Linked DNA regions of Caenorhabditis elegans. The protein of the gene in region 1 purifies or fractionates together with the protein of each later gene. This does not show direct contact. Each region holds a gene or a part of one and is shown in the gene's direction. Other genes may lie near its edges.

Region 1 (15,045 bases):
TTTTTGAAAGCCAAAATTTGAATTTTTCTGAAATAAAAATAAATTTGAAAATTCGCTGAAAATTAGAATTTTTCTAATTTTTATATTTTAAATGACTAATTTCAAATTTTTTGAAATGAATTTTAATTTTTTTAAGTTTTAAAGCTTTTTGAAGCTGAAATGACCAAAATTGCTTCTAAAATTTTTTTGAAATGCTGCAGCTTCATTGCGTCCACCGAGATTTCACCGTTGAAGAGTGATTTCCCTCGATTTTTATTAGTTTTTCGTCGATTTTTCTATTTCAAAATGATAACAATTATAAAGTAGACTGAACCGAAAGTGGAGAAACAAAAATTATCGGAAACCGTTCGGTGGAAATGCATAACGAACTGTTTGAAAATAACAACTGAATTTTCGGATTTTTTAAAATTAAATTTTTATTTGTTTTTCTCATAACCTGCAATGATAACGTTTATAGAGCAAACTTTTCTCGTCATTTTAAGATATAATTCGTCTATGTACCTGTTGAAAGAACTCAGATCGAACTCTTTTTGTGAAATCCAGTTATAATTTTTCGTTAAAAAGAGGAGCTAAAAGTTATTAATCTGAATTAAAAAGAGTCGAGACAGTGAATCTAATTAATATTTGGTATTTTATTAGAGCAATACACGTATTAAACATTTTATCATGGGTTTTTCGGCTCCAATTTTGTTGGCACAATATTTTATTTCTTGCCACATACTACTGTACGTTTGGGCTCAAATAAGCCATACAAAGTGCTGAACTATGAAGAATAATGTTTCAACATTACATTACTTACAAAAAATCAGATTGAAAGCAATGTTTTCAGTCTTTCTTGGCTTTTTTCAACATAACTTAGTATTACCATCTTATTCTGTGCCTCAACTTAATCGTTACAAGTTTGAATTCTTGAGAAAACTGTATTTAAAACCTATTAAGGCTTTTCAAAACTCAAATATATAAAAACGGTATCTTCTTAAGCTTTCGTTTTTAGTTTCCAATACTTTCCTTTCAGTAAGGCTTGAAATTTTTGGAAGCTTCACTGCTAGTTTCCCACTTCACGATTTTCCAATTTCAACTTGTTAAAACTGGCAAGATCACAGAAAAAGCCACACTTCCATGATAAAATCACAGAAAATTAAAGAAATTGGGCTGAATGTCTCAGATTTAGTGATTCTGGCACATGATCATTTCTCAAAACTTCAATTCAAAAATAAAATTGTTTGTGACCAAACCTTCATTTCTTATTTGACTTTCAGGCTATATATTTAATTATATTTCTTAATTGTCTTCAAATTTTTTTGAGATTTCCCCACTTTATGTAGTGAAAACAAAGATAAACTTCTTATTTTCTCAATTTTTCAATAAATTTAACCTTTTGCAGCAAGGTATTCTCTTTTTAACTGAGAAAACTATTTTAAAAATTCATTTCATCATCTTTCCTTTGCTTTCTCAAGAAAATTTCATAGAAGAAATGAATTTTTTCCGCAAAAATAATTCAATATTCAGAAGTGCGCCAGCACGCGAAAGGCGCATCGGTGAAACGCGCAAGCAATCTCCCTCCCCCTTCGTTTCCACCCGAGGAGACCGTGTTTCCTAAAAAAAAAATTTCAAAATCGCTGAAACTTAAATTTTTTTGGCTCTCGGCAATTTTTTTTGTTTTTTTTTAACCGTTTTGTATGTGCAAAATTGATATTTAATTTGTTAAAAATAGAAAATTCGGAAAAAAACTTGATTTTCGTTTTTCAATCGGTGGTTTTTCGGTTTTTCAGAAATCTATTAAAAAATTATTTTTCGGAAAATTGCTTTTAAAAAATTTCAAGCAGTTTTATACAAGAAAAAGTGAACATTTTATCATTGGCAATTTTGTGAAAATTTAAAATTTAATTTTAAATTTTTCAAAACTAAATTTTCAAAAAAAAATCATTTTTATTTGAACAAAATTTTTAATTTATATTATAAAATTCGATTTTGCCAGTTTTTTTTTTAAATATTGAGCGTTTTTAAGCAAATTTTTTTAAAGAGAAAACCAAAAAAAAAAACCAATTTTTTGCTCAAAAAAACAAATTTTATAAATTTACCTTCTCCTCAAAGCATAACATTTCCGTGTGTGGCTTGGAAATCGGGAATCCATTTGTCGCGAATTTCTCACTTTTCTCTGTAACTGCAAGCAGAAGAGCACTTCGAGCAAATGCGACCAGCTCGGGGACGTATCTGAAATTTATTTTATTGAAAACAATTTTCAACTTTCGGATTTTTCGTAAAAATGGAGTTCGGTTTTTTTTTTAATTTCAAAATTTTGATACGCTTCGATAATTCGGTTTTTTAAATTTTTTTAAAAGAGACGAGAGATTTTTTAAAAATAGAGAAATGACCGGAAGATTTTTGAAAAATTGCAATTTTTTCTAAAAAATTAATTTAAAAAAAAACGGGATTTTTGTATTTTTTCAATGTTTTCTGATCTAAAAATTGCCAAAACAAAATTTATATCAATTTTTGAAAAATTCGCTTTTTTTTAACATTAAAATGGAAAATTAATGCAATTATTTGTTAAAAAATGAACTTCAGAAAAAAAAATCAAGTTATATTTTAAAAAATTGCTTTTTTGAATTTTTATAGTAATCTTTTTTCGATATCGAAAAAAATAGATTTTTTTAAGCGACAATTCTGAATTTTAAATTTTTTGAGTTAGCTTTTGAAAATAATATTTTTGGTGGTTTTGGCTTTTTTTTTCGTTACTTTTCCTATTTTATATCAAAGCTTTCAGTATTTTTTTCAAAATTTGCCTATTTAAATGTTCGTTTCCAAGTATTACCTCTTGGATTCAGACACATATTCAACAATAGCATTAGCCAATTGAATTTGTTTAGCCAACGCATTCAAATTGGCACATTTCGCCGAGCAAAGTGCTTCAGTTGCCAAAAAAAGAGCCGGAACCACTACAGGATGCCAGGAATCGGCAACTGGGAAGAGGCCGGAAACAAGACGAATTGCAGAGATTAATCCAAATGACACTGGGCTACTCTTCTGTTTATCCTGGCGGCCTTTCCAGTGTTGACGGATTAGAGCACGCACACATCGGACTCCGTATTGAATGTCGAACTGCAAAAAACAATTTGAAATTTTTTTCAATTGTTGAATTTTTTGCGTTTTTTAATCTGAATTTTTAATATTATTTTCTTTATTTTCAGGATTTTCCATATTTTTTTTCTGAAATTTTAATGATTTTTTATATAATGTTTCTTTAAAAATATTTCCATGATCGTTTCCTATTTTTAATGATTTTTTTCTTAAATTTTCATGATTTTCCTGGTTTTTCTTTTTTTTTTCGAGACTGATTTTCAAAAAAAAAAGGTTTTAATTTCACATGATTTTTCTCAAAAAATCGGGGCTTTTTTGCAATTTTTGGGTCAAACATTCGGGTATTTTTTTTAATTTTTTGGCCAAAGTTTTTGGAATTTATTGCAATTTTTAGGTCAAAAAATTCGGGGATTTTAAAACATTTTTTGGTAAAAAATTCGGGACTTTTTTGCAATTTTTGGGTCTAAAAATCGAGACTTTTTTGCAATTTTTCGGTCAAAAATTCGGGGATTTTAAAACATTTTTTTGTAAAAAAACCGGCTTTTTTGCAATTTTTAGGTCAAAAATTCGGGGATTTTAAAACATTTTTTGGTAAAAAATTCGGGACTTTTTTGCAATTTTTGGGTCTAAAAATCGAGACTTTTTTGCAATTTTTAGGTCAAAAATTCGGGGATTATAAAACATTTTTTGGTAAAAATATCGGGACTTTTTTGCAATTTTTGGGTCTAAATATCGAAACTTTTTTGCAATTTTTAGGTAAAAAATTCGGGGATTTTAAAACATTTTTTGGTAAAAAATCGGGACTTTTTTGCAATTTTTGGGGTATAAAAATCGGGAATTTTTCAAAATTTTAGGTCAAAAATTCTCGAATTTTTTCAATTTTCAGATTAAAAAGTGCGGTAATTTTTCAGCTTTTCCATCCAATCGCTACCTTCATCAACGCATGCATAGTTTCCTGCGCTAAATTCATTTCCTTCACACTTTCCGCTGTCAATTCCTCCTTCGACATATCATCAAACCATCTTAAACACAAGAGGAAAAGCTTATTCAGACGCTTCTTATTTCCTTCTTTAAGGCTCGGATGATGACATTTCACGAGTCGTTCCAGCACTAAATCCATCGATTCCGAGTGTTTTTCCAGAAGAGCACAGAATTTTTTATAGTTTTTCGGCATTTCGAATACGAATGGCAGAGTTTCAGCGGGTTCTGGAGCAGATTTTTTCGCTTTTTTGACGACTTTTTGGGCTTCCTGAGCTTCCTCATCATCGGAATCTTCTTCCAGCTCATCCTCATCTTCCAGTAGATCATCCAGATCCTCTTCCTCATCTTCTAGATCCTCGTCATCGTCAGATTCATCAGAACCATCCAGATTTTTCTTTAAAATCCTGGATTTTTCCACCGTATCCTCATCGATCAGGCCACCTTCATCGTCAAATTTGACCTCAAATCTCGAATTTTTCGCCTGAACTTTTCTGGCGTCGGCCTTCGATCCAGCATCGATATCAACGTCGGCATCGGCTGATAAATGAGATTTTGCGTTGAAAAATGCATTATTTTTCGAGATACGGGCGGCCTCGAGAGTTTCCAGACGTTCTTTTTCTTTCAGAGCTTCTTCTTCTTCGGATAGCTTACGATCTGCTGGGGTGGCACGAGCGTCGGCTTCGGTTTTCAAGGTGATTGTCTGGAAAAATAATAATTTTTGGATAAAAAATGGAATAAAACCTATTTTTCTTGATTTTTTAGGCGAAGAAACAAAAAAAAAGCCTTTTTCTATCATTTTTTAAACAAAAAAATTGGCTTTTTCTTAATTTTTTTGTCGAAAAATAGTTATTTTAAATTGTTTTATTTTGTAAAAAAACGACTTTTTTAAAGTTATTTTTCGGCGAAAAATTTATTTTTTTAAATTAAAAATTGCCTTTTTCGTCATTTTTGTCAAAAGAAAAACCGACTTTTCTCGAATTTTTGTCAAAAAAATTGACTTTTTAATGATTTTTCGTCAAAAAAATTCTCAGTTCAGCTCAATTTCTTTCGCGATAAGAAGTTAAATGTTTTATTTTTCACTTCAAATTGCACAAATTCCGAAATAATTTTACAGTGTTTTCTCTGATTACAAAGCTAAAACTTGGATTTCTTCAACTTTTACAGCAAAATTAATGAAAATTTCCAATTTCCATAGCAAAAATGGTTAAAAATTAGCATTTTCAGATCAAGTTTTTTGGGTTTTAGGTTTTCCACTAAAAAATTGTGAAAAAAATCGATTTTCACTCTAAATTTATAATTATCTTTTATCTTAAAAATTTGGAGAAAACCGGGATGTTTCCCGTACCAATTTGTCGTAATCATCTTTTTCCAGCGGCTGGCGCCCGGTCGGCCTAAATGAAGCCTTCATTTTGCCCATCAAAGCCTGATACTTGGAATCCAACGACTCTGTCATCAGCTCGAGCTCATCCTTCTGCTGTTGCTTCTCGTGACGCGCCAGCTTCGTTTTCGCAATCAAATTCGAAATCATATCCTCTCGGCTGATTTTTTCGCGGACGTGCTCCTCGGCGGTCTTCTCTCCACCACCGAAATGAGCCACTTTTACCATATTTGAGCCCAAATTTCCCGGCTCTTCATCGTCATCCGAGTCGGAAATCATCGATTTGTCGTATTTTTCAATGTCCGAGAGCGCTTTTCCCTTGTGAGTAAGTACTGAAATTTACTTTATTAAAATTTTTCTCAATTTATTTCGGAATAAACCTTCTTCCTCCTCATCTCCATCATCTGTCAAGTTGAATTTCGATGCTCTTTTATAATTTTTGACTCTTTCCTCTGTGAATCTCATCGCGCCCTTCTCCTCCTCGCTTTTTCCGTCCTTTTCGCCGAGCCGTTTGTCGACAATTTTGCTAATCTTATTTTTCCGGTCATATTCTACGCCTAGCGTCTGTTCACGTTGCTCGTGAGCTCGTTTTCGTGACGCAGTCGGTGCTCCAACTTGTGCGCCCTTTTTCCGGCCGAGAATCTGCGAGAAAATCGATTTTTTCTTCAAAACTCTGAAAAACTCACGTCATGCTTGGATTTGTTGAATTTTAGCTCGAATGGATTGGTTTTTCGTTGCTTTTGCTTTTTATCAACACCCATGTTTGCTGAAAATGCGAAAAATTAGGGGGGAAACAGAGAAAAAACCAGGGGTATCCAGGAAAATTTAAGAATAAAAATTGGGAAGTTTGCGCGTCAAGTCGTGCGCATTGTACGCAACGACGCCTTTATTTTGCAAAGTTTTGAAAATTGAAATGTTTTAATTTATTTTTTTATGCACGTTTTGCTGAAAAAGTGGAAAATTTGAAGAAAATCAAGGGAAAACTAGGAAAAATCAGTAAAAATCAGTGAAAACAGAGAACATAATGAAAAAAATTTGCGCGTCGGGTCGGGTGCGCTGTACGCAAACACTTCACACTTTTGAAATTTTTTTTTTATTTTTGCGAATTTTTGCGAGTTTATTCCCCGCGGGCCTGCGAAAAATTGCGTAAAACTTTAATATTTTGACCGGAAATTTTAGATTTCAAGTTTTAAGCTAAACTATCTTTGTCCTTTCACCTAATTCTTCCCTATTTCACCCCCAAAACAGCTATTTTTCCCTATTTTCAGATGGAGCAAATCGGAGCAGCTCTCCAGCAGACTCTGGAGCCGGATGCTGCGATTCGCAAGCGTGGAGAAGAAGCGCTCCGCTCGCTGCAATCAAATCCAGGCTATATCATTCAAATTCTTCAACTGGTGGTCAACGAACAGCAACAAATTGCTCCGCAGATCCGAATCGCCGCGGCTGTCGCTTTGAAAAATTTTGTGAAGAGAAATTGGGTTGGAAAATTTGAATAAATGCGTGAATTTTATATTTAAATTGTTTCAGGGCCCGGCACCAGAGGTAGAAATGGGCCAGGAAGACGAGGAGCAGTTCAGAAGCATGCTTCTCGAAGCGATGTTCAATACAAAATCAAATGTTCAGGAAATCCTGTCCAATGCTCTGTATCTCATCGCTCAGAGAGATTTTCCCGAAAAATGGCCAGATTTGGTTCCATATTTGTCGAAATTCCTGAACGGAGCGGATCTCAATCACCTGGTGGCCTCGCTGGCGTCGATGGAGCAGATTTTCCGCAAATTCCGATTCGAATCCAAGTCAGCAGAGCTTTGGAAAGAGCTGAAGAAGTGTCTACTGAGCGTGAGTTGCGTTTTGGCTCAAAATTTGGCTAATTTCAGCTAAAATCCCCAATTTTGGCCACTTTTTTACGTCGCAGCCGTCGGAAGTTGAATTTTTGTCCGCTTTGACCCTAAAAAATGACCAAAATTAGACATTTAAGCTAGCTAAAGCTGGCCTTGTTTTCCGAAAAATCGTGAAAAATTCAACATTTTATGATTTTTTAGTCAAAAATTTTAACTAAAGCAAAAATGAGGAATTTTTGGCGAAAATTGATAATTTTCCTATAAAAATGGACAAATTTTCAAAATTTTTGAGCCAAAAAATTGAAGAAATCTGAATGTCAGTCTCGAATTTGGACCGAAAAACTGTTTTCTCCCCAGATTTTTCAGTTACAAATAAAAAGAACCGATTTTTCAGACCCAAGAGCCTCTAACTCTGTTGCTACGGAACATGATGGAGGTGGGACAGCGGAAGGATCAACTCGGAGCCGACGAGATCGCCCAATGGCTCCGAGTCTTACTTCTCATTGCAAAAGTCTACCATTCTCTGTGCTCACAGGAGATTCCGGAATACTTCGAGGATCATCTCAAGGACTGGATGCCACACTTCTTGCATCTCGTGCAAATCGACGCGCCGACGCAGACCTCCAACTCGGGAGAACCTACAACTCTGGACGAGCTTAAGCACGAGATCTGTGAGATCTTCACGCTCTACTCGCAACGCTACGAGGAGGAGATCTCCGAGTTCGTGCCCGACATCATCCTTGCCGTCTGGAATCTGCTCAAGTCTACCGGCCCCGACACTCGATACGATACGATGGTGTGCGCCGCGCTGGAATTTCTGTCGATGGTCAGCCAGCGACAGTACTACGAGGGACACTTCACTGGTGAAGGCGTTCTGAAGACTCTCGCCGAGAACGTGTGCGTTCAGAACCTTCTGCTTCGTCAACAGGATATGGAACTGTTCGAGGATGAGCCACTGGATTATATGAAGCGAGACATCGAGGGTACCGATGTAGGAACTCGACGCCGTGGAGCCATCGATCTTGCGCGAGGTCTCTGCCGAAGATTCGAGGCGCAAATGCTTCCATGTCTGGGGGAGATCGTGCAGAACCTGCTGGGAAGTGGTGATTGGATCAAGATCGACATTGTCTACTCGCTGATCACGGCGATCGCGGTGAAGACGGAGACTGCTAAGAGTGGAGTAACGGCGACGAACCCGCTGGTGGACATCAACGACTTCTTCATCACACAAGTGGCCACACATCTCAACGCCGATGTCAATCAAACTCCGATCCTTAAAGCTGATGCACTGAAGTTTGCGGTCACTTTCAGGAAACAGCTGGCTCCAGAGCACCTTATGACTGCGATCAAGTCGGCGGACGCTCTTCTCAGCTCGAATACTCCGATTCTGCACAAGTACGCAGCTTACGCTATTGAAAAGATCCTTCTCGCTGATTCCAACAAAATCTTCTCGGCTCAAAATCTTCCAGTCTCCTCGATCCTTCAGAACCTTGTCACCGCGTTCGACAAGGATGCCAAAGCGCAAAACTCGCCGTATCTGATCAAGGCGATTTTGAGGATCATTGTGATTCTCGATGACGACACGATTCGGCATGCGGACGCGATTGCGGTCAAGCTCGCACAGTTGGTCGAGTCGGCGACGAAAAATCCGGCGGATTCGGTGCACACGCACTTTTTGTTTGAGACGATTTGTGTGTTGATCACCAAGGTAAGGAGTAGTTTGAGAGAAAAATACCACTCTAAACTCCGCCCATTTTTCCGTGCCGCACTTTGGTCTCAAATTTTTTTTCATAAATTGGAACATAACTTGTCAAATTTTCTGAAATTTTTCTGCAAAAAAAAATTCGCTGAAACTCGGAAATTGGAATAGACATCGATAATTTAACTTTCGATCTGAAAATTTTCGGAAAAATTGGCAATTTTGCTGGAAAACGCAAAAATTTACAAAAAACCAACACTTTTCCGTTTTCGTGTTTTCAAAAAATATACCTTTTTTTAATTTTTCGGAAAATCGAAAAAATTCAATTTTTCTGATAAGAAACCTAAAAACTGAAAAATTTTAGTTTTTAATTATTTTTGTCGAAACAAACCCCGAAAAATTGAACGATTTTCACTGAAAAAAAAATCAAAACTTTTTGTTTTTCAATTTTTCGATGTTTTTTTCCGAAAAAATCGAAAAGAATCTTCTTTTTTTAAAGAAGAAATCGATAATTTTTTTCTGAAAAAAAAAAATTAAAAATTGCAAAATCGAAACATTTGTCTGCTTTTTCGTGTTTTCCTTTTTGTGATTTTTTTTCTTATTCAAAAAAAAAGTGATAGCAATTTTAAGAACATTTTATATTTTTTAACGAATTTCCTGTTCCAGACCCGAACAATCGGCGCCTCACTGGATGCTCAACTCCTTCCACTGATCGAAGTGATCTTCCGCGAGGATTTGGAAGATCTCATCCCATATGCTCTCCAAATCACGGGAGTTCTCGTCTCCTCATGTATCGCTAGAAACTCATCGATCGATCAATTCTCACCGTTCCTTCCGTTTCTGCTATCCGAACGTCTTTGGGCGAGATCAGCGAATGTTCCAGCGGCACTTTCGGTTCTCGAAGTGATCCTTTCCGTGAATGCTCAGCGAGTCGTCTCGGAGAATTCTGGGTTGATCTTGAGCCATTTGGCGCGGCTTTTGGGCTCGAAAACCTTGGATCAATACGGTTTCCAGTTGGCGGCGACGATTCTTCCGTCGATTGAGCACTTCGAGGGTTCCGCGATGACATTTGTGCTCAATACAATGTTTCGAAGAGTTCAATCGTCGAAGACACCCAAGTTTATGAAGCTATTCATCGTGTTCTTGTGTCGATTTACGATCGCCCGGAGTGCACAGGATCTTGTTCAATCGTGTGAGAATATTCAGACTGGCATGTTCGGAATGCTCATCGAGAAGGTCGTATGCATTGATTTGCCAGGTCTGAAACAAACGACAACGGGGCCTGAGAAACGGATTATTGCCATTGGAATGGGCAATTTGCTAGCCGATGTCACGCAGCAGCTTGTGTTAGTAATGAAAATTTAGGCTTTTTTCCAGAAAAAATATCGAAAAACGAAAATTTTCGATTTTTTATATTTTTTTCAAAGGAAATTGAAAATCACATATTTTCGATTCAGTTTTTTTTTCTCCGATTTTTTTTTTAAACTTTAATACGGGTTTAAAAAAAATAGAAAGTTACAATTTTTAAATATTTCAGAAAAAAAAACGAAAATTTTCTATTTTTTAAAGATTTTTTTGGAAAAAATTGAAAAATTGCAAATTTTCGGTTTTTTTCCAGAGAAAAGTTAAAAATCACATATCAAAAAAAAATTTGAAAAACACAAATTTAAAAAAATAAAATTGAAATTTTGTCGATTTCTTCGTTTTTTTTCCTGACAAAATCTGGAATTTTCAGTTTTTTGAAAAATCGACAATTACCGACTTTTCCCTATTTTTTCAAAAAAACAAAATCGAAAACTGCCGATTTTTCAACAAAAAAATTAAATCAAAAATGAAGATTTTAATTTTTTTTTCGGTTTTTTCTCAAAAAAAAAACAATTAACGACAATTAACAAAAACAAAATTACAAATAAAATCATTTTAAATTCAATTTCTCATATAAATTTTTTTTGCAGTGGTCAATACGGAATTCTGTCATACGAGGTGGCAATGCTGCTGGAAGCTGCTTCAGCCTCCGATCGAGCCGTCCTATCACCAGAAGAAGAGCAAGCTTCAATGTACAACGCCGAGGGAGAATTTGTGAACCCATTCTGTCGTCTGAGTTACGCTCCCAAGCAACCGCCCGTCGCCGCCAACATCGCCAACCACAAGGCCTACTTTGCGCAGGCCGTTCTTGTCCGTGGACCCGGAAATTGTCCAGAGACACTTCGTTCTGTACCGCCCGAGATTGTCACCTATTTGCAGTCTATTCAGCAATAATTTCCCCGATATTTATATTTTTTCAATTGTTTATTATCTTTTTTTTTCTCTGCTGCTGCCCGATTACTCGCTCTTTCTCTCTAAAAAAAATCCCCCGTTGTTAACTTTTTTGTCTTAAATTTCAAATTTCTCACTTTCCATCTCTGATTAGTTTACGGTTGTCGAAGCCCCGCTTCTTCTTCTTCTTATCTCACATCTGCCCCAGTTTTTTCCTCTTCAAATTGCCTTATTTAATTGTTTTTCACGACATTTTTGCTGTCAAATACACAGAAATTCACCTCGATTTTGAGTGTAAGATGTGGTGCCTGAAGGAGTGACGCGCAAAATATCTCGTAGCGAAAACTACAGTAATTCTTTAAATGAATACTGTAGCGATTGTATGTCGATTTACGGAAATAATTTATAATTTAGTAATCGATGACGCACACAAAAAACAAAAAAAATAATTTTAAAAATCGAACCCGTAAATCGACACCAGCGCTACAGTAGTCATTTAAAGGGTTACTGTAGTTTTCGCTACGAGATATTTCGCGTTCTCAGAATTCAAATAGTGTTTCCGTAATATCATGGCTCCTTTCCACGGGGAGGCAAAGCTAACGTGGCCGCGAGAGTGCGCCGGCTAGCCACCGCCTCCTATGGTTAAGAATTTTGATCGAATAAACATTTTTAATTTGACTTATATGCTTATTTTTCTTCGTTTTTTCTTATTTTTTCTTGTTTTTTCTTGTTACTACGTGGAATAAGCATAATGTTTTCAGCTAATCTACGCAAACCGCTTCGAAATTCGATGGATTAAACCGGACAAAGGCAAAAAACGTCGAAAAGTAAGTTATTATTCAAAATATCTCGAAAAATTATGGTACAATATTTCTGAAAATCTACTCAAATATGGAAAAATATATGCTGATTCCGAATTAAAAAGTCTTGAACCTCAATCTCGCGTATTTCATATTTATTTTCTCGATTTTAGTGAAAAATTCGAGAAATTCAGTGCAATTTCGAATTAAAAATTACATTTTTCCAAAAATTATGGTACAATATTTCTGAAAACCTACTCAAATATGGAGAAATATATGCTGATTCTGAATAAAAAAGTCTCGAAACTCAATCTCACGTATTTCATTTTTTTTTTTCGATTTTAATAAAAAATTTAGGAATTCAGTGCAATTTTCGATTTTTTTTCAAAATATTTTCTCTTAATGTTTTTATAATTTCCAGATATTACGTTGTCGCTGCATTGGAAGATTTCAAGACAAAATTCGAAATAGATGCGAACAAGAAGAAGCTGTTCGAAGTATTAATAAGGAAGGTTAAGCAGCAATAAGTGCTCTTACAAGGGCTCAAGTGCCGCAGAAGAAGCCAAAGAAGGTAGGACTGCAAGGTCGACTGCTCAATCAGCCACTATTTAAGAAGAAACTACAAGTCAGATCGGTCCGAAGGCAATCAAAAGTTCCAAGCAGAAGAAGTGAAGCTCATGGAAGAGGTTGGAAAGCACGAGTCTGAAGTTCATGAAGCACTCGGCGATTTGGTGGATACAAGATGTGTGATCGAAAATTTCAAAAAAAAATCTGATCAAAATCTTTGAAGCAATTCCACTCAGCAACCAGAATATTGGATTCGTTTCCGAGGATAAGTATGTGGATTTTCTTTAAATTGGAAAATTTAGAAGTTGATTTTCAGGTGCAATGGTGAAGGAGCTTCAACATCGTTCAACGAGGAAGCCGTTTTCATGCCGTACCTCAATGATCCTGTTCAATTCCGTAAAAAAAAATTTCGTCTTATTGCAAAGGAGCACAACTTCGATGGAATTCTTGAGGTGTTACTTATTTTTTAATTTTAAAAAATTAAACTTCGTGAGAGGACCCTCGCTGAATTGGGAGCCCCCTCGTGGAGCGAAAGTATCAAACCGTTGTGAAACTCTTCGATCGTGCCACGTTGCTCGGTAGCATGATCAGAAGGACGCCGAGAAGAAGTGATAGGATAAGGAGACGACTGCCAAGAAGATCAAGCCATGCTTGTTCTTTCTAATAATGTTCTTTATATTTCGTTCCTGTTCAGATTTCTTATTCCCCCCTCCCCATTCGGTTAATGTTCTTCTCTCTCTTTTCCTTGTTCAGCATATCTACTAAGTATCCCTCTCTGACGAGTTTTATATTGGTTTTCGAGACAATGAATGTTTTAAACGTTATATTGATGTTATTAAATGTGTTATTCAGTCAATCGGAAGAAAAACTAGATAAAAACAAACTATTCAGCTGAAATTCATCGAAAAAAGAGGAAATTTTCGGTTTTTCTCAGAAAATCAGTGGAAACATAATGAGAAACATAAAATATGCACTTTTTTATTTTTTAAATTACTATTCTCTATCACAAAACATTTTTTTTCGACTTTTATTCGCTTAAATAATGAGAAAAGCGCTTTTAGCCAGAGCTGATATTGACGAATTGTCGTCAAATAAAATGCGCGTACGCAAAGTACGCAATAGTGTACAAAACTTATTCGCGTTGAATATTCAGTCAGCCAAATGGGACTACTGTAGAAATTTCTTCAGCCACGTTAGCTTTGCCTCCCCGTGTTTCGGGGAAATTTCCAATATGATTTGCGCGTAAGATATGATGCATGTACGCAAATACCGAGATTTATTGCACAATATTGTGCGCGCTACGCAGAAATGGCGCGAAACTCGTAGAATGCTCATTCTTGCAACCTGCGATCTATCAAATTTCGCCCCTCCACTGGTTTTGATGTTCTACGTTTGCACTTTTCGGACAATTTTTCAATTCAAAATTAAAAAAAAGGAGACCCGAAGAACTCGGGGGATGTCCAATTGGGGGGATTACCAACTCGGGAGTTTGGCCCCGCCCACAGAACCGTGGCTTGCAATACGCCCATTTCTGCAACTGCCGCACGGTTTTAAAATTATTTTTTCTTGTTAATTCTCGCTCTATTGAGAAAAATACAGTTTTAAAACCGTGCGGCAGTTGCAGAAATGGGCGTATTGCAAGCCACGGTTCTGTGGGCGGGGCCAATCCCCCGAGTTGGTAATCCCCCCAATTGGACATCCCCCGAGTTCTTCGGGTCTCAAAAAAAGTACACTTTCTCCTTCATTCCTTGAGGAATTTGTATCACAAGTAGTTAATTATTACTGATTTCCCAGCTCGCACATTGTTTTTACTACTGATACGTATTTACTCTTTTTACTCTTCTGTCTGAAAAAAAAAGCGAAAAACACACTCTTTTCAACTGCGTCTCTTTCAGAATTACTCTCCATCGTCGCCAGACACTGGTTGCCTGGAATAGGTATTAGAGATTTTGCCGTTTATTTTTTTCTTTTTTTGTCAGTGCACTGGCCAATGTAATGCCAAAATTGCAAACAGTTCTCTATGCAAATATTAGTTTCTCGCTGACTCATTCCATCGATTTTTTATTTCGCAACACGCTACCATCATCATATTCCAAACATAAATCATCATCGGTTGTCGCCGAAAAGTTGCGAAAACTCGCTGAAAAAACCAGTAAATGTCGTGAAAATCACGTGAATCCTTTTAAAATTTGAACTTCCCGCCGTGTACAGTTTAAAGTGCGTGTGACGCAGCAAGTGCGCTCCGTTGAGAATCGTGCACTCGAGGCGTTTTTGTCCCAAAATTCAATATTTGTTGGCCTATTTTTCACATTTTCCGATAGGTTTTTTGTTGAAAATGCCAATTTTTATACTAAAAATCTATTTTCCTCAGCGATTCCGCGTATTCCCCAGGCGTTTATCTGCAAAACCGACTCGCTTTCATCTTTTTCCTTCTCAATTTTGAAA
Region 2 (15,716 bases), 4.6 Mb from region 1:
TCAAATTTCTATACATCTTGTGTGTTCTCTCAATTTTCTACCAAAAAGGGATTTATTCTGAAGCTTCAGTATGTCTTAAAACATCCTTGTAAATATAATATTTACGAATTCGAACGAACGAAAAACAATCCATCCCGTCGTTTAATTAAGTAGATCAATCAGCTCAAAAGCTGCCCAAAATAATCCCGTTCTCTCGAAGGACATCTCATTTTCGATGCAGTTTCCAAAAGACTTGAGAGCTCAAATGGTCCATCTGGTGCCACCCGAAAAAGGGTCTTTGCGGAGGGTCATGAATATTTTATGACGTTTGTTTTTGTAAAAACAGGGGGAGAGTTCGGAAAAAGTTCAGAAGATTCGAGATTTAGAAGAATTAGAGAAATTTGCTTGACACGTGAAAAAATGTAGACAAAATTAGTATTATAGGGACGCATAAAAACCATTCTGAAATTAACATGGAAATGCGCTCTACGCCTCTCCCTCGAACCATGGGTCTCGTTAGGTATTTGGCGGCAAATCGTAAACTCAATCGTATGGCCGTGGAGCGCGTTTCTGTGCCGATTTCAAAAAAGGATTTTCCTGCGCATAAGTAATAGGAGAAGACGGAAGTGCAGAAAAAAAAAGTAAAATTGTTATTGATAAACAAATAAAATTAGCAGAGAAAGGAAACTGCATGCAAAAAGATTAAAAGTTCAAAATGAAAAAAAAAAGAAAAAAAAATTATATAACAGGAATATTTGTGTTTCGATAACGAAAAGAAAACCAAATTCTAAAGAAAAAAGAGAATAAAATAAACAATTAGACTCTATTATAAACAAACCTAGAACCTTTTCTGTGACAGTGAAACTTTTTAAAAATGCTAAAATGCTTTCAAAAGCCTTTAAAATGTTTTAGAAGTTTTGCTTCTCAGAAAAGAGACAAATTTTAATTTTAAATTTTAAAAACCAAAATATATTGTACAAATTATGAAAATTATGCACCTAAACGCATTTTCTGATATGAAGCCATGCGATAAGCAATGGTGAAGATGCGATCGTTAACAAGTAGATTCTTCCAATTGTTCTGCTGAAGAACGGAGCAAGAAGAGCAGCTGAGAAGAAGAGTGTCGATGGGAGAGTCTGTGAAATTGGCACGCACGGGAGTGCACTTCCGGTGGATGGTTTCTCCGAATAGAATTCATCAATAATTCTGAAATCAGAGGAGAATATCAGTAGATGAATGAATGTTTGACACGGATACCTTTCCTTTTTCGTGAATCGCTCAATCGTCCAGGTGCGGAGCTCCAATTTCGCCTTGGGAACCTGCAAAGCAAATATTTGTAAATTTGAATATTTTTTCTTAGAAATTTTTGAAAAATATTTTCTTTGCAGCAAGACATATTTTGGAAGCCAGTTTTATTTGTGTTTAAAAAAATTCAAAACTTTGGGTTTTGGTTTTAAAATTTTGGGTTTTTTAAAGTTTTTGTTTTGGTATTTTTGGGACCAAAAGATCCAAAAAAAAAAACTTTTGCCAAAATTGGTTTTAATGAATTTTTCTTTAAAATTTTTTTTTAAAAACCAAAATTCGATTTTTTTTTAGATTTTTGTTTTCACAAATTACAATTTTTCTTTTTTGTTCCGAATTTTTTTTGGTCCCAGCCCTGAGCACCACCTTATTTAAAAATTTTAAAAATTTTAAATATTTTTATTCAAAAAGTGGTATTCACCCAGTTGTTGTCACTCATAATTCTGAAAATGGCCAAAAAACTACTTTTTTTTTAATTTTAAATTTATATTTTGATTATGTTTTAATTTTTTGCTGTTTACCGGAGGTAAATTAACATATTTAAAAAAAATTTTCTACTGTTATTTTCTGATGTTCAGATTTTAAAGATTTTTTGGAAACTAAAAAATGGCGGATTTTTGATTTTTTTTTTTCAAAAAAATAAGAAATTTTTCTTTAACTTCTGATTAAAAAGGGAAATCAGATTTTTTTAGGTTTTACATTACGATATTTCGTCTTCAAATTTGCAGTTCTATAGAGATCTGACAATGAGCGTATCAAAATTATCCGAATTTTTAATTTAAACTTTTTCGTGTAGTGATGCTGCTACCTCATCAATTGGAATCCTATCAAGATGAATATGAAGTTGTTTGAATTGTTGTGATCCACAACAAAAATCAAACATTCCAGGCGCCAATCCACGACGTTCCGCCATTCTGTAGATAATAATTAGATTATAATGAATTGTTAAATTCAATCCCAAATCAAACCTCATTTGTCCATACATTACAGTAACATCATAGATAGCGTCAAGTGTCGACAAATTGTCGAGTGCCAATTGTAATCCTCCACTGCGCGGACACAACACATTTTGCATTGGTTGACGGCCCTGAATGCGTCATTGAAAAAGCGGATTGAGGGGGAAGGGGACCGAAATTTGATTGAAGGACATTATGGGGAATGTCATGTTTTGATTGTTAGATGTTTCAAATTATACATATTTTATTAGTAAGGTTGTTTTTGCAATTTAGGTAAACCTGGAAACTAGAAAGCTGTGAAAATTTATTTTTAAAAAGTGCTAAATTTAGTTTAAATTTCCAATTTCGAAGATATTCAAAAATAATTCAATTACACCCAATTTCTGCATTTTTGGGATATTTCCGAAAAAATGATTTTTTGAAGCAACTGCAGAAGATTTTTCATTTTTCGTAGTTTTTGGCAAAAATGTATTTCTGGTTTTTTTTTTTGAAAAAAAGTACCCAAAAAAGCACAAAATTTTTTTAACCTGTGCAAACTCATACATTTCAAAAAACTTTCACCAAAATTGCAATCAAGACAATGTTTCATTGTTTTTTTTTTGCGGAAATTCAATTTTTGCTTTTAACGGAGAAAAATAAGGAGAAAAATAAATAATTTGTTATCCTTTCAAAAATTTATAAATTTAGATTTTTGTAAAATATTTTTCTAAAAATGTCACTCAAAAATGTAACTTGAGTACAGGTATGTTCATAATATTCAAGATTTTCAACAAAATTTGGATTTTCGCTTTTTCGTGATTTTAATGATACATCAATTTTTTTTAGATTTTAAAATTCAAATTCCTTACACTTTTCTCCAAAAATCGATTGCTGCTCTCCAGCAGATGTTTCTTTTTCGCAGAATTTCGTGTTCCTTCAGGAAAAATCAGAAGCCAATAGGGCGGATCAGATTCATTAAGCCACTTCAACTGTCGTAGAACCGGTGCTCCAATAAATTCTCCAAAACGTCGAACATAGATATAACCATGTTGAAAAATGTACCATCCGAACATTGGAACCAAATGAATCGAATTTTTAACCATCACACGAAAAGCCTGCTCATTTCCTTGATCTCCATGTCTAGCGGCAAGCATTACAGGAATAATCCAATCGACATTTGATTGATGATTTGAAATCATAACTGCATTCTCTGGTTTTCCAGTTTTATTCACCACTTCTTCATTAGTTCCGTGTAAGTAGATCTCAACTCCTGATAAGTTTTCAAATACAAAAAGACACAGTCTCATATATGATTTATAGAGCATATTGTCAAGTTGTTGTGCCACGTGTCGGGGCACAATCCACGAAACTCCACCGATCACAATTGCACACGAGGCAAATGGAACCATTGATAATGAAAGTAGGGAACATGGGATAATTGGTCGAAGTGCATCCACTGCTATTGTTAGAGATATTAACATCTGAAAATTTGTTCATTATTTTATTTTTAAATTAAAACGAACATAAAACAAGGTTCCTCTGCAAGTACTGGACTTTTCGAATATATTTTTGGATTACAAATTTTTTAATAGAAAATATTTTTGCCAAAATTTTTAACCGTTTTCATGTGAATTCTAATACAAATTTTGAAAAAAAAAACCCAGCAAAAAACCAACAAATTGTGAAAGTATAAAAATCGGCGGACATTTGGACAGCCACGTGACAAGGTATAAAGCAGAAAGCAATTGATATTTTATGTACAAAAAATGGCGGGAAAGAGGAGAATAAACAAGTTTGTTTGGTTTATCACAATGGGGAGAAATCACCGGTTTGAAACAAATTTCAATTAAATTGAATAACTAATGCATTAGGAAATATTGTAATATTAAATAAATTAAATTACCCGGAGAAAAGCGAAATATAAATACAATTTAAAGCTTTTAAATAACATGAGTAGTTCGAATATTTTGCTTTCTAAAACTGAACATCGACTTCATGACGGCGTACTGAATTCCTCCAATGATAACTGGAGTCATGAAGAGAATGAGGAGGATCGTGTTTTTTAGATCTTCAGACAGAACTTTTGACTTCAAATAGTCCTGAAAAAAATATAATAATTTGGTTTATCAAAAAAAATTGTTTTTACCTGATAACCCGACTGATTAAGCAAATGAACAATGATAACAGGAGCTACAGATTGTGCCGGTTTCACGAAAAGTGCGTTTAAACTGAATACAATAGATGGGATTCCTGAAGAACGGCTATTCTTCCGAGCGTCATCATCCACGAAATCGGAAATTATTATGTTGAAGAGTGGTGCTATTGTGTGCACTGTGACGCTGAAAGGACTTTTTTTGTTGAATAATTTAATAGTTTTAGAAGGAAAGTATTTCAGCTTTCTTTGTAAAAAAATAGAAAGACATTTAGCGGCAGGGGAGCACTTTGAATTAGAAAAAAGTCGATTTGAATCTGCTTTCATTGCATTTTTTTACTACTTTAGAAAATTTCTTCAAATGAGGATTTTTGCAAACTTTGGGCAAGCAAAAATTCACATTTAAAACGAGTTCACAGTCCTCTAAAGTAGTAAAAATGCTAATTTTTAACGACCAATTTCAAAGGTACTATTTCAATTTTCAGATTAAAACCTACCAATCGATAAGCATGAAGAGCATAATGCTATATGGATTTCCGGATGCAACGATCATAAATCCGGATAAAAACGAGACAATATAACTAACAGAAATCACCCGAATCGCGCCAGCATTTGCAATTAGCTTTTCATTAACAATTAGAATAATTTGTGGTCCAAGTGTGAGTAGCATAAAGAATAAACTCAATCGAATCGATCCACTCGGTAGAATATCCTGAGGAATTAGGATTTCTGTAATAATTGATGCAAAATTCATATGAGCAATACTTCTTGCTGTATGGAAAAAATTGGTGATCACTATGGCGAGAAACTGTCGTTGTGAGAGAATTTGCTTGGTAAGATGAATAGAATTTTGAACATTTTCGTGGAATGTTAGTTGATGTTCCTTTTCTTTTTCTTGTTCTTTTTCAATTAAAACTTCTCGATCTCCTTGTTCCTTATCCTCTTGACGATTGTTTGTGATTTTTCCAAAGTGACCTCCCCACCAAAGACAAATGAAAGAAAGTATTGCGACGAAAAAGCAGATTCCTTGGAAAATCGGAAAATTCTGAAATTAGCGAACATTTCTTAAATCTAAATTTTAAATAATAATACCTTTAAACTGTTGCTCAGCTTTTCCGTGACAGCAATCGAAAATACCGATAAAAGAATTGCGATTTGAGAATATTTCAGTGCTTTTACTCGGATCAATGACTGATTTTGTGTGGTGTCAGCGAATAGAGCTCCCCATGCAACACTGATTGCACTGAAGAATGCATCGTAAAGGAATAATGAGAGAACAAGGTGCAATCCTTCCAAATCTGAACCTTCTGTATTCCATGGGATCCACATGAACACAAATGAGCCAACAAGGAAAGGAGATAAAGTTTTGATCACTAATAAGCGATTTGTGAGCCATGATCCACGAATTTCCTGAAAACAAAATATTAAATAATCATTTCTAGCTTACAAATATAACAAATACCTGCAAATATCCAAAAAGTGGATCATTTATTGCATTCCAGACCATAAACAAAGTTTGCGCAATGTTGAACCATTTTGTGTTGACGTGAAACTGATTAATGTATACTTTAACATAATAAAACATGAAGAGCGTCTGAAAATTGAGCTTTTTGAGAATTTAGGATACGAAACTCTCACCTGCAGAACACTTAATCCGAACTGTGAGAGTCCGATTGATAATAGGGAACTTCTCATTATTAAATTCGTATATTTCTTTCTTCAAACTATTAATTTTACAGGAATTTGAACAGATTTCCATGAAAAAACAGCAAAATACAGCAAAAAAAATGAAGAAAAATGAAATAATGCATGTACGCTCCATTGAAAATCTGTTATGGAAGAGAAATACAACGAATTTGAAAATGAGTGTCTCGGCGCGACAATGCTCCTATAACAGTCGTTTTCTCTGCGTCTCTTCATGAAATTTTCGGCGCAATTTACTTTTTCGAATTTTTGCACTTCTAAATCTGTTGAAATTTCTAAAATTTCCATCAAAAACGTAAATTTTCTTATTTAAAAAAATTTTAATAGGTTCCCGCTAAACTTTTTTACGAAACTTTATCAATTTCACTCTTTATCATCGGTAAAATTATCAAAAAAGCCCGAAAAACTATTTTCAAAATTTTAAATTGATTAGTATTTCTCTCGAGAGTGTATTTCCTCACTTAATCATCCTCAAATACATATTTTTCAGTAACTACGCTTACTCGGCTTCCGAAGTTTCTGAAGACAATGGCAGAACAAGCGGCAGAACAGATGCTGACGGTTTTGGAGAAAACCGTCTCACAAAGTAAGTTTAATTAAATAAGTAGATTTCAAATATTATAAAAATATATTTTCAGATCAAAATGATCAGAAACAGGCGATGGACTATATTGCGGCGGCATGTCAACAAGATTTTCCCGTTTTCGTTCAGTGTCTCAGTATGATACTTCGCACACAGCAATGTCAGTCATTTGTTCGTCAAGCCGCCGGTTTGCAGTTGAAAAACGTTCTATGTGCCAAAGAAACTGAAACCAAAAATGTGTATCTGCAAAGGTAAAACATTTTTTTAATAGAAAAAGTTTATAAAAATTGATTTTCAGATGGCTACAATTGACGGCTGAAGTCAGAGAACAGGTAAAGCAGAATGTGACCGGAACATTGGGAACTGAACCATCAAGACCATCAATTGCAGCTCAATGCGTTGCAGCAATCGCATGTGCAGAGCTTCCACAAAATGTAAGTATATATTGTACAGGACTTTATAAAAAAAATCATATTTTTTAGCTATGGCCCAATGTGATCAACCTGCTAAAGAGCAACGTGACAGAGTCACAAAGCGGAGAAATGCTGAAAGAATCTTCACTTGAAACTCTTGGATACATTTGTCAAGACATTGATCCACGAGTTTTGGAGACAAAAGCCAATGACGTCCTAACAGCAATTATTCACGGAATGCGTCCCGAGGAATCATCCGCCAACGTTCGATTCGCGGCCACCAATGCTTTATTGAATTCGCTAGAGTTCACAAACACGAACTTTAGCAATGAGGTGAGAAAAAAAGTGTTTAACCTCAAAGTGTGTTCAAATGAACGAATTTCGCAAAGATACTTCTCAAAAATGTTTCGGCAATTTGTTATGGCGATTAAAAAATCTTCAAAAGAACATAAATTTTTTTTGGTAAATTTTTTGAGAGTTATCATTATGAAATTTGATCGTTTTAGGCCAGTTAGTCTATTTCAGCAAATTGCCCACAAACTATACTTTCTCTTCAATGATTATTTCAAATTCAGGCCGAGAGAAACATCATCATGCAAGTTGTTTGTGAATCGACGAGCAGCAGTGATCAACGAGTAAAAGTAGCTGCTCTCCAGTGTCTTGTTCGGATCATGCAGCTGTACTATGAACATATGCTTTCATATATGGGCAGTGCACTCTTCCAAATCACTCTCTCTGCAATGAAATCCCAGGAGCCTGAAGTGGCAATGCAAGGAATGGAATTCTGGTCAACTGTCGCTGAGGAAGAATTTGACTTGTACATGACCTATGAGGATGTAAGAAATACGCGTTTTGATCGGAATGCTGCCATTTTTATTTAAAATTAGTGTCAATAAATAGAAAATCACTTGAATTATCTAAAAATTACTTTTTTTCTGTTGATTTTCAGATAATTCAAGAGATTTCCTATATTCTGACATTAATTTTTAATAAGAAATGTTGAAAGCAATTCCGTAGAATTGCCGAAAATAATTGGTTGTGGTTGACTCTAATTCTCCAAAATTCCAGGAAGTTGAAAGAGGAGCTCCAAATCCAAAATGTGCATCGCTACGATTCATGGAACAAGCTGCTTCACATGTGTGCCCGGTTCTTCTTGAAGCAATGGCTCACCACGACGATGGAGACGATGATGATGACTGGACACCAGCAAAAGCTGCCGGTGTATGCTTGATGCTTGCTGCTCAATGTGTACGGGATGATATTGTCAATCACGTGATTCCATTCTTCAAACACTTCCAAAATCCTGATTGGAAATACAAGGAAGCAGCTATCATGGCATTCGGATCTATTCTTGATGGTCCTGATCCAAAGAAGCTTCTTCCGATGGCACAGGAAGCTCTTCCAGCTATTGTTGCAGCCATGTGTGATAAGAATGTCAATGTACGTGATACTGCTGCATGGTCTCTTGGAAGAGTTATTGATACGTGCTCGGAGCTTGCAAACAACGCGGAACTTCTTCAATCTGTTCTTCCGGTTCTTTCCAATGGTCTTCATCAAGAACCAAGAGTTGCTAACAATGTTTGCTGGGTATCGTTTTTTATTAATTTCCCTAATATTGTTATTTTTTAATAATTTCAGGCCCTCGTTTCCCTTGTCAAAGCTTGCTATGAGTCAGCCGTCGCAAATGGAACAGATGGAAGTGGACAACCGGACACATTTGCTCTTTCCTCAGTATTCGATCCAATGGTTGGAGAGCTTATCAAGATTACCGACAGAGTAGATGGAAATCAATCGAATCTTCGAATCACTGCATACGAGGCTCTGATGGAACTGATCAAGCATTCACCGAAGGACTGTTACTCAGCTGTTCGAAATACAACTGTAGTCATATTGAAGGCAACAAAAGTGTTAATCACGAGCGAGAAAAAATGATTTTAATTTCAGAAATTGGAAAGCCTGCTGCAAATGGAGTCTCAGGCGACCAGTGAAGCTGACAAGGCTCAAGTTCGGGATCTTCAAGCAATGCTGTGTGCCACATTACAATCCGTCACTCGCAAAATGCAGCCAGCCGACATTCCAGCCGTTGGAGAGCACATTATGAACGGACTTTATCAAATTATGAACAGAGCTGCAGCGACAAGAAGTAATGCGGTCATGGAAGAAGCTTTGTTGGCTGTTGCTTGCTTGGCAGAACGTAAGATTTTTTTCCGATTTTCTGAAGCATATTTGAACTGGAATTCTTTCAGATCTAGGAAAAGGATTCCTCAGTTACATGAACGTGCTGAAACCATATTTGCTAGAAGGACTTTCGAATACAGATGAGACACAAGTATGTGCCGCCGCCGTTGGACTTGTCACCGACCTCAGTCGTGCTCTTGAAGCCGAAATCATGCCATTCATGGATGAATTGATTCAAAAGTTGATTCTGTGTCTTCAGGTAAGATTCGAGAAATGAGAAAACTCAGCTCGCATAAAATTATAATTTGATTTTTCAGTCACCACGGTTAGATAGAAACGTGAAAGTTGTGATTATTGGAACATTTGCTGACATTGCAATGGCTATCGAAGCACATTTCGAACGATATGTCGGCAGTGTTGTACCGATTCTCAACAATGCTCAAAATGCTGCAGTTGTCACTGATCCGGTAAAAAATGAAAAACATTATTCGAATTTATAATTAATTTTTCCAGAACGATGATGATCAAGTTGATTATGTGGATAGATTAAGAGAAGCTTGCCTCAATTCATATACTGGAATTATTCAAGGATTGAAGGCAATTCCTGACGTATGTGATTAGGCAAACGACGCATTTGAAAAATGTTATATGCAAAAACAGTGTATTTTTGAAAATGTTCAATTTTTAAAATTGGAAAATTTAATATTCTTTCAATTTTTCTCATAGAATTTTCTCGCGTTTTTTTTTCGTAAAATTTGAAAAGTCAAATTTCAAATCAAACTTATTCTATAAATTCTCCCAAAATTGTCATGAAAAAAATAACTGAAAAAACCACCAAAATTTTGAAAATACACAATTTCCGAAAAAACCGGAAAATCGAAAAATGTTCAAAAAATTAACCATGAAATTCAATTTTGATCAAATTTTGTTTATGTTGATTAAAAAAGTTTGAAAAAAATTTCTTCCCATAATGAGGAAAAATAACCCGAATTTCAAGATTTTTTTTGTTGAAATATCGGAAAACGAAAAATTCAAAAATTTCCGTTTTTCGATTTTTTTAAAATTTTAATTTTTTTTAGTTAAAAAATTGCAATATTAAACTTATTCTATACATTTTTTTAATAATAAAAAGCGAGAAAATTCTATGAAAAAAACTAAACAAATTAAAAAAAAATACACAGTTGTTTTTGCTTATAATTTTTTGACAAACCGGAAATTTTAATTTTAATGATTTCAGACGACCGCTGCCCGAAACATGATCAATGTATTCGTCGAGCCGATAGTTCAACTGATTACACGGATTTCATCAATGGAACCAGTTCCACCATCAGAAGCACTTATCGCTACTACAGCTGGTATCATTGGTGATCTTGTTCAGTTGTATGAGGGTGATATTATTCGATTCTTCCTAACTGATAATGTTCGTTTTTATTATTATTATTCAAATCTGAAAATTATTTTCCAGGTGACACAAATGCTGCAAAAGGGTAGAAAGTCAAAGGTGTCAAAGACGAAATCGATGGCCAATTGGGCGACCAAAGAAATTAAAAAGGTAACATTGAAAAATCGAAATTCATTTTTTTTTTAGAAAACAAGAAAATAAACCATAATGACCAAATATAACAACAAAAATTAAAAAAAAATCTACATGAATTTCTTAAAATATTGCAACAAAAAAAACTACTAAATGTTTTTTCCTGGTTAAATTTATCGGGTTTTTTCGAATTTTTGATTTTAAACACCTGTTGCCAATTTTGAGACATTTTTTCACAAAAAAGTTATAAGTTGTATGCTAGTTTTGAAGATTCTGCAATTTTTGTGGGTCATCAAGTTTTAAAGACAAAATCTCCGAAAAAAAAAACTAACAAAAGTTGCTAATTCAAATTTAATTCAGTCGTTCCTTTTATTTTTTTGCAAAAATTTTTTTAAACATTATTTTAAGAAATTAGAAAAAATCCAAAAATTTTTTTTAAACGGTTATATTCGGTCATTACTGTCAATTTTCTTTCATTTAAAGCAAAATTCCAAAACAAATATTCTCTAAGCTATAAATACTTACTTTTTTCCTTTTTCATCAACATTTCTAACGAATAAACTAGTTGCAGCATACGAACAACGGAGCAGCTACGTTCAATTTTAATCGTTAAGCAACACAAAACTTTCAATCTCAGTTCACTTTTTTTTCCAATTTTTCTTATTTTCTTCCTCCACCCCCCACATTTCTCTTTCATTTCCCCACATCTCTTCTTACAGGTCATATGCTCTCTGTTTCTCTCTCTTTGTCTCTCCCGTTTCCTTTTCTCATTCATTGCTCCGTTTTTTCCATCTTCCAAGTTTCCAGCTTCATCTCCTCCCCGGTATTTTTATTTTATTTTTTTATCTCTGACGAATTAGAATGTAATTTCCCCCACTTTTATTTTCGTTTCCTAGATTGTTTGCTTTATATTTTTGTGTGTGTGACCCCTCATTATTCAAATTTTTCTATTATGATTCTGATTTTTAGCAGCAATTATCTTCATCATTTTCTGGTTGTTTTTTGTCGGTCTTTATCGATTATCGTTTTTGCCCAAATTTGAAACTTCTAACACGGTATCTGACGGCCCTATACGTTATCATTTTGTTTCCCCTATTTATTCATCACTATTTTTTTTCTCAAAGTTTTACCGGCTAACACTATTAGTTTTTTTTTGTAAATCTATGTTTTCTATCCGAAGGGCTGTCAGTTACCAGTTGTCATCCCGCCTATTTCAATCTCAAGACACATCAATTGCACTAAATGATTCTCTTGGAATATTTTGGAATATATTTTTTTTTTAACGAAAAAAAAATTAATGACAAGTAGGAAAAAATAAATACATAGAAGTAAATGATAAATGATGGGGTAGTAAGGTAGTAGTAGAAACTATGTACATAGAGGGAAGGTGGTGGCAATTTGAAAAGCTCGGAAAAAAATGCAGGGGATTTGAATCAATTTTGATTAGAGGAAAAAGAAACCGGTGGAGGAATCTTGGAAATCATCGACAATAATGAAGAAAAGTGAAGATTAGATGAGAATTGAAGGCTAAGAAATCTCTCGAATGACCATGTTTTCGGGGGTTTTGAAATGAGGAGACCACCTCAATTCTGATTTTTTGTGTGTGTTTGACTAGATTACAAAACGTGGATTCAGAATAAATGGATGGGGCTATCGATTGAAAGTGGGCAATTTGTCGAATGAGTAACCAGGCCGGCCGCATAATGTACACGTCACGTAGTACACGTGGTAGAAGCCCGGAATAAAGCAAACGAGGCCGGCGAAGAAGAATACCCAGTGTTGCATTCCGGAATGAGCTGAAAATGGTGAGGATTTGGATGAATGGGTTACTGTAGAGCTATCAAAGAAGCAAAATTTCATGATTTATGAGTTAAAGAATACGGTACCTGGTCTGGACACGAAACATTTTTTTGTCAAATGCGACAGTAATTTTCTACTCGATTTTTCTACATTTTTTTACAATTTATTGGAAAACTGTTTGAAAAATTAGTAATAATTCATCGGAAAAAATTTGAAAATTAAAGTACTCTTTAAAGGTGCAAACACCAAAAATTTGTCGTGTCGAGATAGGATACTCGATTTTTGGAGCAAATATCGCAAAATTTCGCATCCGAGTAATACTTTCCATTTTTTATTTGCCAAAAAAAAAAGACTCACCTTCATCTGGATTCATAGCAACCCAACATCCTATCACAAGAAGAACTGCTCCAACAGCTGTTAATATAATTGATCCAATTATCACTTTGATATTTGATTTAAGCTGTGGACTGCATAAACCTCTGAAATATTAAACGGTTTTTGAGCTTTTACAATTTATTTTTTATTCTATCTTTTATTTCATAGTCTCTAATGTTTTCGTTTCAATAATCACGTGTTTGTTCAGTGCTGCCCTTTAGGGCACACAGGTGTGAGATTTGGCGCCAATCGTGGCGAGACCCGCCGCTTTTCTTTTTTCCAAACACATGTTTTTGGGTGGCGACTACTTTGATTTTTAGTCTTACTCTCATTTAAAAAAAAGAAGTTTTTTCAATTTTAGATTTTTTGAATATTGGCCAAAAAATTTCTGATCGAGCAAACTTTTTAGTTCCAAGATTTTTTTTGGAAAAAACTTATTTGAATTCAGCAAATGTTGTACTTTCGAAGTTATTACGTGAAGATAAAATCCTGAGAATGCGTATTGAGCAACATATTTGACGCACATAATATCTCGTAGCGAAAACTACAGTAACTATTAAAATGACTACCGTGGCGCTTGTGTCGATTGACAGGCTCGATTTTTTGAATGATTTTTTTTTGAATTGTGACAGCGATATTCCATTTTTCTTCCGTATTATTTTGTAATTTTTAGATTAGTTTCAACAAACAGAAAAAATTAAAAATCGACCCCGTAAATCTACAAAAGCGCTATAGTAGCCATTCAAATAATTACTGTAGTTTTCGCTTCGAGATATTTTTTGCGTCAGAAGAATATTGTTCTTGCATAATATTTTTAAAACAAAGTTTTTTTGAATTCTCTTCAAATTTTATTTTATTTTAAAAAGAACAAATTTTAAAAAAAGCTTACGTTGATTTATTCTCTTGAGGCCTACTCGGAGTGAACGGAGGACTACTTCCAGGATAAACTCCTCCATTTCCATATGGTGCATCGTCGTGTTCCATTGAAATTGCCTCGTGTGCTCGATTTTCAGCCGTGACCGCTCTTCCAGCCAGCTTTTCAGCGTCTTCGTCGTCCGATTCGTTTCGATCGACTATCAGCTGAAACAAAAAATGTAAGAATAGTGACAGAATTACTTCTATGATCATTTATTTTCTCACGTTTTCGTGGTTTCCGTATGAATTTTCTAGTGGTTTTCTGTCGAAAGCCAGCGGTTTTTCGTTATTATGAATTATAAATGAGTTTCAGCATGTTGAAAAAAGAAAAAAAGAAAACAGCGATGGATTAGAACACAGAAATCTTTCTTGAAAAAGAATAAGAAAAAAAAATAAAAAATGGATTGTTTTTGGTGTCGGTTTGGCTACAAAAGAGTCATTTTTCTTTTGTCTGTATTATTTTTTGAATACAAATAACTTACATGTTGTCCCTGTGACACATTACGCTGATGTCCTGGCATGCTAGGCATATCTGGAAATATTTATTTTGAAGTAAGAAACACAGTTTCATTTGCAAAAAAACCACGTGGGAGAGGAGGGGCGAGAGAGAGAAAACAAAAAAATTCTGAAGATATGCAACGACGAGAATCGATTCCAATTGCATTTTTGCCCCAAACATGTTTTGTGTGTGAGGAAATGATGAAGAAAGGCGGCGATTTGAATTGAGATAACATTTTTTGGAACGAAACTGAGAGGGAAGAGAGAGGGCAAATCGAGATTCTTTTATCGCTTGAGAAATGTATTTTTTTAATTCGTGATTCATGTTCATGCAAAATTTGAATAAAATTTAACAAGAACTTTGGTGTTTTTTCACGGAAACAAAAATAAAAAAAAACACTTAAAAATTACAGTTTTCAAGCTTCTGCTTCGGGACCCGGCTGACAGAAATGTGTATGTGCCTTTAAAGTCTACAGTATTTAGCTACATTTTTAATCGAAAGTTTCAATTTGAAATGGCAACAAATTTAGGAAATAAGTTTTAGTTTCCAGTTTGGAGAAATATAATGAAAGCGTGACACGCGAATCGGGGTCGCGAAGTGACTAATCGCGCACCCATTTCCGCCTCTTCAACTCTTTTGGCAAACATTGGTGGTGGTGAGAGAGAAGAGAGAGCCGCAACGCGTGACCGCGACGCATCCGAACGTCTTCGTCCTCGAATTTCCGGATTTGTTTTTATCCGCGGATATTCCGAAATTACAACTATTTTCCACCGTTTTCTCTCAACTTTTCTGCATTTTCTTCTCCGAATTTTTCTCTCCTTTCTGATTTATCACCCGACTCGCACGCACAAAACGCGCAATGTTTGTTTTGATGTCTCTGGGTTTGTTGAAAAAAACACCTGCCATTTATTTCTTTTCTCGTAGTTTGATTCAGTTATCGTCAAAGTGAGTCAGAGACTAGAACGCGTCGTTATCTTATCAATGAGGAATTCCTAAGAAGACAGTAAATACATCAATCCATTATTTTTGCATTAAAAACGATTATCAAGCAAGTAACTGCGAACATTGATGATGTTCTCTCTTTTATCTTTTAAACCTTTGAAATGTTTTTTGCCATTTTTTCCGATTGCCGAATCCTTTCTTTTCTAAAATTGCCAAAATTTCCGATTTCGCCGAAAATTCAAAAAACCGGCAATTGGCGATTTTCGCGTACCCCTGGCTCTAACGTGACATTTTCGAAGTTTAGAAAGTTAATCTTGATCTTCAGAATAAATAAAACAAAAACTCCTACGTGAGAATCTTGTGATATTCGAGTAAACATACCGATTTCACACCTTTTGAGAGTTT

Evidence for each region.
Region 2: the proteins of xpo-2 (region 1) and imb-1 fractionate together in Caenorhabditis elegans (co-fractionation; one large-scale study listed by BioGRID). This does not show direct contact.

Annotation. Positions count from the first base shown.
Region 1 is NC_003279.8:315,016-330,060, reverse strand, and holds xpo-2 (Exportin-2), read left to right. Parts: upstream 1-6,708; coding exon 6,709-6,918; intron 6,919-6,967; coding exon 6,968-7,276; intron 7,277-7,672; coding exon 7,673-8,986; intron 8,987-9,643; coding exon 9,644-10,323; intron 10,324-10,932; coding exon 10,933-11,236; 3' UTR 11,237-11,512; downstream 11,513-15,045. Other genes in the region: nol-14 (Nucleolar protein 14), read right to left, coding at 2,082-2,214, 2,816-3,102, 4,013-4,762, 5,408-5,772, 5,821-6,082, 6,127-6,201.
Region 2 is NC_003279.8:4,917,080-4,932,795, reverse strand, and holds imb-1 (Importin N-terminal domain-containing protein), read left to right. Parts: upstream 1-6,562; 5' UTR 6,563-6,600; coding exon 6,601-6,658; intron 6,659-6,710; coding exon 6,711-6,906; intron 6,907-6,953; coding exon 6,954-7,089; intron 7,090-7,137; coding exon 7,138-7,401; intron 7,402-7,643; coding exon 7,644-7,904; intron 7,905-8,136; coding exon 8,137-8,655; intron 8,656-8,706; coding exon 8,707-8,964; intron 8,965-9,012; coding exon 9,013-9,262; intron 9,263-9,314; coding exon 9,315-9,505; intron 9,506-9,563; coding exon 9,564-9,713; intron 9,714-9,759; coding exon 9,760-9,855; intron 9,856-10,483; coding exon 10,484-10,666; intron 10,667-10,711; coding exon 10,712-10,798; intron 10,799-11,351; coding exon 11,352-11,393; 3' UTR 11,394-12,037; downstream 12,038-15,716. Other genes in the region: acl-11 (Phospholipid/glycerol acyltransferase domain-containing protein), read right to left, coding at 978-1,185, 1,237-1,298, 2,090-2,195, 2,250-2,368, 3,086-3,697; mfsd-13.1 (Major Facilitator Superfamily Domain containing homolog), read right to left, coding at 4,157-4,315, 4,363-4,555, 4,866-5,413, 5,461-5,778, 5,831-5,962, 6,007-6,063; F21F3.7 (Transmembrane protein 230), read right to left, coding at 12,431-12,576, 12,938-13,059, 13,845-14,035, 14,353-14,400.